Linked DNA regions of Bombyx mori. The protein of the gene in region 1 purifies or fractionates together with the protein of each later gene. This does not show direct contact. Links are inferred from orthologs where the notes say so. Each region holds a gene or a part of one and is shown in the gene's direction. Other genes may lie near its edges. The genes, in order: transient receptor potential protein and PLCb4.

What was found.
Region 2: the proteins of transient receptor potential protein (region 1) and PLCb4 purify together in Drosophila melanogaster (affinity purification with western blotting; 3 studies listed by BioGRID). This does not show direct contact. The link is inferred for Bombyx mori from reciprocal best matches to the Drosophila melanogaster genes trp and norpA.

What each region holds. Positions count from the first base shown.
Region 1 is NC_085120.1:6,368,201-6,372,036, forward strand, and holds part of transient receptor potential protein, read left to right. Parts: intron 1-329; coding exon 330-531; intron 532-892; coding exon 893-1,066; intron 1,067-3,836. UniProt on the Drosophila melanogaster protein: A light-sensitive calcium channel that is required for inositide-mediated Ca(2+) entry in the retina during phospholipase C (PLC)-mediated phototransduction.
Region 2 is NC_085124.1:1,852,233-1,856,068, forward strand, and holds part of PLCb4 (1-phosphatidylinositol-4,5-bisphosphate phosphodiesterase beta-4), read left to right. Parts: intron 1-990; coding exon 991-1,227; intron 1,228-3,799; coding exon 3,800-3,836. UniProt on the Drosophila melanogaster protein: The production of the second messenger molecules diacylglycerol (DAG) and inositol 1,4,5-trisphosphate (IP3) is mediated by activated phosphatidylinositol-specific phospholipase C enzymes. Essential component of the phototransduction pathway.

The sequences.
Region 1 (3,836 bases):
ACTTTGCTCTAGAGTGATGGGTGGTAATAAGTAAGTCCCTAATTTAATAAGACTGTTTGTGAGCTCCCGTGAACTATGAAAAGCTTGAACCATCACCGTCCGGTTTTGTATTCGAAAAATATTTACCATCACATTGTAATTTCTATAGGCTCTGATAACCAGTTTACGCCGGGGAAACATGAGGACCTCTACCCTTCAGCACCTACAATAAAAAAACTTAATATATTAATGCAGCTGCTGTTTCAACGCAATCGGTACTTCATTGAACAAACCAAGGATATTTGTGATCTGGATTTTCTAATTAAAGCTTTTAAAAACTATTCAATCAGATGCGGTTGCGACGAATGTGTGAAGTCCTCACAAGAGGATTCTCTGCGGCATTCTCAGGCTCGGATTAACGCATATCGCGCGCTTTCTTCGCCTTCACTCATAGCGTTATCGTCAGCTGACCCACTGCTGACGGCTTTCCAGCTGTCTTGGGAGTTGGGACGTCTGAGTCGAATGGAAACTGAGTTTAGAGTTGAATATAAGGTAAGCCTATGATAGGTTCTTTGTGAGTTTCCCGCTTCGCGATTTTGCTTAGGTGGGTGGACGAGCTTACGGTTCACCCAATGCTAAGTGGTTACTGAAGACCAGAGACATCAACAAAACCAAATGCCGCCACCCACCTTAGGACATCAGTTCTAAGTCTCAGCTTTACAAGATAACGGTAATATATCCTCACTGCACTGTTTGAAATTTATTTTACTGATTGTTTAATTCTATTATTATTATTTTAAAGTTCTACGAGATATAATGCAATGAGATTTTTTGGAACAATTCATTTGTTTCTTTACTTGCTTTTGGGTTTACGTTCACAATATTTGTGTATCATATTTTGATTTTAATTCAGGCTTTACGTCAACAATGCCAAGAATTCGCCACCTCACTATTAGATCACACCAGAACCTCAAAGGAGTTAGAGATAATGCTCAACTACAACCCATGGGATTTGGACTGCTGGGAGCCCGGGGAAAGGCAAACACTTGGACGTCTCAAATTGGCTATCAAATACAAGCAAAAAATGGTAAATCAATTAAAACTAAAACATAACGAATGGTGATTTGTGTAAAGTAAATTTTTTGATAACGAAAATTTCTGCATTAAATTTTTTTGGTGTCCTTGATACTTTTAAACAAATTTAAGTGGAAAATATCAAATAAATGATATATCACCAGATATTAAAACGATATCAAAATGTACTTATTTAAAGTTATAAGCTACAAGCCAATAACAAAGAGGATACTTTAACTTTTGCTCGTTATTATTTTTGTGTTGAAAAGAGGGTACCTTGTATCTCGTTTTTTTTTTATTGCTTCGATGGATGGACGAGCTCACAGCCCACCTGGTGTTAAGTGGTTACTAGAGCCCATAGACATCTACAACGTAAATGCGCCACCCACCTTGAGATATAAGTTCTGAGGTCTCAGTATAGTTACAACGGCTACCCCACCCTTCGAACCGAAACGCATTACTGCTTCACGGCAGAAATAGGCAGGGCGGTGATACCTACCCGTGCGGACTCCCAAGAGGTCCTACCACCAGTGATTACGCAAATTATAATTTTGCGGGTTTGGTTTTTATTACACGATGTTATTCCTTCACCGTGAAAGTCAATCGTGAACATTTGTTGGGTACGTATTTCATTAGAAAAATTGGTACTCGTCTGCGGGATTCTTATCCTTTAGGCCACGACGACTTGATTTTACCAGATGTCCCGGTATTACTTTACAAATTAAAAGTATGTATAATTTTGTCTTTGTATTACCATTGAAATCTACACCTGATTTTCATTACGCAGATACTTGAGCGCTTTAACTTGCTCTTGACAAGAAACAACAAGTACGAACCTAGCCCGTTGCAATTTGGACATAAAGTAAAAATTTACATCATGGTCTGAATTTTTAATCAATAGTCAAAAAATATTCATCAACTGTAGTCAATTAGTAGTCGACTAGTACACCAAATTTAATCACAATTGGATTATGAGCATATACAGCATCAATGGATCATAGCAATAATAATTACAAGCATCAATCAGTGATATTTATTCATTTGATTCCCATTATAGATAGACGAGGGCATGGCCCGCCTAATTAGACTGTCACCTGACAACCAGACACCTACATTAGGTTAATTAATGAAAAGCAAATTAGCAGTAAGCGTATTTAAAATATAAATAAATTTGAATTAAAAATAGTGTAAGAAAAAATGATTTTATTATAAAAAAGTGTTTTTTAGCTATTATTCGTTTTCCATTGTTTAGTTGAATTTTAATATCTTTTTTAAAATTTTTCAAAAATTTCATCTGAATCATCAGTCGGTAACTTATCCGAGAAATAGGTGATCGGCGTGCCTGGTAGTTTCCCTTCTTGGTCTTGACGCAGACACTAGTCAGTAGACAAAACACAAAAAATCACTAATCCTGATTATCCTAGTAAGGATAACGGATCAAACTGCTTAAAATATTGAATTGTCATCGATTCTTAATAAGTGTGCCAAATTTCGAGTTAATCCGACGTTTTGAAGAGGGTCATAATCATGATCAAAGATTCCTTTACATACGTAACATACGTATGAAGCTAATAAAAGCGTATTAAAAAGACTAACGCTCAGATAATGGTCGGATATTCACTCGAAGAGGAGGACGAAGTGAGGCACCGCTTTGTGCGTGTGTGCCAAAGCCTATGCCGCCATCCAAATTAAGATATGACGTGACATCATAGATAATTCCCTTCCAATATTCAGGAACAAAATTATAAAATTTGTTGTTGAACCTCAGCCTTGGCCTTGGTCTGAGTACTCGGGTATTACTGTCCTTGTTGTCTTTCTTTTATTTTATTTTATTATTATTAGTATTGTTAAATCTCTGTTGATATATTAATGTAATGCATGCTGTGATTATTTCTAATTAGAGTTGCAGCTATCAATTGCTCTATACATGTCAATGTTATTTTATGTCTTACTATAAACCCTGTTGGTAATCCTTAAATAAATAAATAATTGTCTCGATCAATATACTAAAATAGAGAATTGGGGATTGAAAATGTATATGGTAACTTATATAGGAAGACGTGTCGAATTCTATATTCAATACTCTTTTATAAAAATAAAAATAAAATAGAGAATCTTATAATTATTATTCAGTCGTTAAAAGTTTTAAGGATCGCAGTTAATATAGAAATTAATAAATTAATTATATTATAATTATATTTTTGTCTACTATAATTAAAATTAATTATAGTAGACAAAAATGAACCTTAAAAATGATAGTCCACAAATAAATCAATTTTATAAAGTCATATAAAAATCGGGAACGCATAAAATCGTTCGTAGATTCCTTTCGATGACCTAAAATCGGCGGAGCGACGTGTTTGTTTATTGAGATTTTTTAATAGTTCGATCTCTCTTCTGGATCAATTTAAATCTTCATAAACAAACATTCGAATTAATGGTCTGTTTACGATTGATTTCGTTTAATCCACCCGGCGTCGACGCGTCGGTCTGTCAGTGAGAATACTCAAACAAATCTGAACTAATTTTATATTTTATTTCGCTCCTTCGATATATTACTACGATACAGATTTGTATTATGTTAATTTTGAAGACAAAGAATCCTGTCTTAACAAGTTAAAGTTTTCTCAAGATCATTTTTACATCCAACACGTTGTTTGGTCGTTGCAAGACGTAATATCTAGTTGTTGTAAAGATTATTTTGGTGCGATGGACGGATTAAGGTCCTAAAACAAGTTATACGGTAACTAAAGTGCTTTAGCAAGCTGGCAAGAGCTGGATGA
Region 2 (3,836 bases), on another chromosome or scaffold:
TAATAAAACACGTGTTTGGTTTTTTAGTATATTTATTATTAATTGCATTAAGTTAACATTTTTTTAACGACATCCAATCTGCAATTTAGTTCGCCTTATTTGTCTGCTCAAATACAGTTGCCATAGTTAAAAAACGTTCTGTGTAGCAACAGTAACAGTAAAACATTTATTTTTATACACTAGTTACAAGAGTACCACTGCCGTATCCAAAACTAGCTATCTGGGTAACGTTAATGGAAAATTCTTTTATTAAGCTAAGCAGAAACATTTTTTTCTTTTCAATAGGTCTACATTTGAGATGAATTCTCAGGCAGCTCGCGACTCTCTTGACCTCGAAGCTCTGAATCAATCGTCCAGCATCACCTTACTGGTGTCCATCTATAAGAATTTTAATGCTAATACCTCAAAAACCCCTAAAAAAATCTGTTAAAATTTTCGAAAACTGTTCCAATACCCATTGTGAAGGCGGAGCGGTTTACCAATGCGTTACCTTATCCCACTACTGATAGAGCGGTACTATCAAGTGTTAATAAAGCTACCGAATAACTTGCAATCATTCTCATTGATTCTCTCTTCAAAAATATCTTCTTCTTCTACATATATAAAAATGAATTGCTGTTCGTTGTCTCGCTAAAACTGGAGAACGGCTCGACCGATTTGGCTAATTTTGGTCTTGAATTATATGTTGAAGTCCAGAGAAGGTTTAAAAGGTAAAGATAAATATGGAAATGCTCGAAATTAAATAAAAACAACAATTTTGTTTTTCCTTTGATGTGTCCCGATCGGACGGATTCCTTTTGTTTGTTTTAAGTTTATTTTATACAAAAGTTTAGGTCTTTTATTTATCGATTGAGGCACTACGAAGTCTGCCGGGTCAGCTAGTCTTCTTATATAACACAGAACACAAGAAATTCAACTAACGAAACAAACTTAACGAATGTAATTTCCTATATAATATATAGGACCACTTTAACCCTGACTTTCTTCCAGCTGGATGCGCCTCTGTTTCCTGACCGACCCTCGGGGCAAAGTTCCCGTCAAGGTGGTGGCCAGGACATTTGCTTCTGGTAAAACTGAGAAGCTGGTCTACCAGTGCCTGTCCGAACTGGGTCTGCCGTCAGGGAAGAATGACGTCATGGAAAAAGAAGCCTTCACGTTTGACAAGTTTTACGCTCTGTATCATAAGATTTGCCCGAGAAACGATATTGAAGAGTTGTTTCGTTCTATGTAAGTATTATTTTAGATTTATTTATTTATTTAGTCTATTTACAAATTAACAGCATAAACCAAAACATTTGTAAGGTATTAACGTACTAATATAACGGCCGTCTGGTGTAGTGGTAAGTGACATGGTCACTACACAAGGGAAGATATTTGTATGATAAATATAAACGTCTTTTCCAGGGTTATGGATGTATATTAAATATATTTATGTGTATAATAAAAATCTTACATTTATTTTCCGTTATCTGGTACCTGTAACACAAGTTCTTTACGATCTTATCACGGGACCAGTTAATGTGGCGTGATTGTTAGTAAATATTTATTTATTTATTAATAATTAGCTTAAGTAACTTCTAACAACAACAATAAATCGCTGCAAACCATCATGGAATATATCCATTTCCGGAGCATAGGCTAGCAAGCCATTGAGTAGCGAGACAGTACAATGCGTCGGAGAGTTAGCGGTGTGCTGCGTACGCGCGTGCGTGGTACTAAAAAGCTCCCGCTGGCGACGCACCCCTCCACAATGTAGCATGGTAGTTGTAACTAGCAATGGAACTCATGATTATGTCTTTCCATATGAGTCGACAAGTATCAAAGCCGGCAATGTGACTTTTGGACAATTACTGGTAAATCAGAAAAACGAATTATTGACTTTGTATTCCATTGGCAGTCACAAAACTCTTCTGAACGACATCTTAGATAAATAACAGGTTAAGTATTAACCTTTATTTAATGCAGGTTTTGAACCGTATTCTTTGAAGGAGACAATTATATTCAAATCAATCTGTATTGACATATCAATAACATTTTTTTGTCCAAATGCACAGATTGCCACCTTTGATAATAGACGACTCATATATTGTATCAAGTAACCAGGTTTACGTGTGGCAACTATACCGGCGTTTGGTAGCAGTCTAATCACAATATCTATTACATTATATTAATACTGAGAAATAAATAATACATTATTAAGTAAAATTGTAATACTAATAAGATGGGACCACCAACCCGATTAATTTTTAGGATTGAGAGCTAAACTATATCAGGACTATATCTCAAAGACCCTTTATTATTTCTTAGCCGATTGAACGAGCTCATAAGTGATTACCGGAGCCCATAGGCATTAACAACGTGCATGTCGCCGCTCAATTCTATAGTATAACGGCTGCCCCACCCTTGAAATTGGAACATATTACGATAGAAATAAGCAGGCTTCTTTTATAGAACGTAGCTATTTGTAAGCAGCTTTGACAGTGATTTCAAAAACGCATTACTTACCACATTATATTACAAAAGCGTATTACTGTTTTGCGGCAGGAAAAAGTAAGATGGTGGTTCTTTTTTTTTTTTTATTGCTTAGATGGGTGGACGAGCTCACAGCCCACCTGGTAGTGAGTGATTACTGGTGCCCATAGACATCTACAACGTAAATGCGCCACCCACCTTGACATATAAGTTCTAAGGTCTCAGTATAGTTACCCGCCCGCCCGCTCGGTTCCTACCCGTGCGGGCACTTAAGACGCCCTACCACCATCAAATACGCAAATTATAATTTCTGTCCATTTGAATCTTACTATATAGTGTTATTCCTTCATTGGAGTTGTTCGTGAAGATAAGCTAAGTACGTATTTAATTAGAAATTTTTTTATTTGCCTGCGGGATTCGAACACCGGCTTAGTCGCACCGCTTGATACTAATTTACTGATGGTAGGACTTCTTGTCAGTCCGCACGGGTAGGTACCACAACCCTGCCTATTTCTGCCGTGAAGCAGTAATGCGCTTCGGTTTGAAGGGTGGGGCAGCCGTTGTAACTATACTTCAGACCTTAGAACTTATATCTCAAGGTGGCTGGCGCATTTACGTCGTAGATGTCTATGGGCTCCAGTAACCAGGTGGGCTGTGAGCTCGTCCACCCATCTAAGCAATAAATAAAAAAATGCACCGGGCGTCTTATCCTTTAGGCCACGACGATGTCAAATACAGCCGCTTTGATCACGCAGTAAAGTGGGTTCCAATGAACTGGTATAGCTTTAACTGCAATTAATAATTCAAGGCACCTCGAGATAGTTTTCTTTTTCGTCTTCATTGAGCACCAGATGAGTCGCCGAGATAAATGCGAAACTATTTACCTAAAGTAAAGTGTGCGCCTGTACAACAAAATCCCACAAGATGTTCAGAACCTACATATACATAGGCTTAAGAAAACTATTAAAGAACATCTGTGCAATAAAGCTTACTATAAAGTCAATGATTATCTAGAAGATTGCACAAAGTGGGAATGAGTTGCTCGCTCCGGGCAGTTCAATATTGTAATAATTGTTATGTTATTATACTCATGTAAAAATGTATATTTAAAAAATAATCTAATATTAAAAAAATAATCTAATATTAAAAAAAAAAATACATGCCCGCTGAGTTTCTTGCCAATTCTTCTCAGGACGGAGGCTAATTCTTGTGAATTGGCGGTAGTTCTTTTGACGTTCAACAAGTATGTACTTTCATTTATGTTGAATAAAACTTTTTTGATTTGATTTGATTTGAAAGATGAAAGTAATCTTGTTTTTACTTTCAGAACTCAAGGCAAATCCGATCGCATCAATTTGGACCAG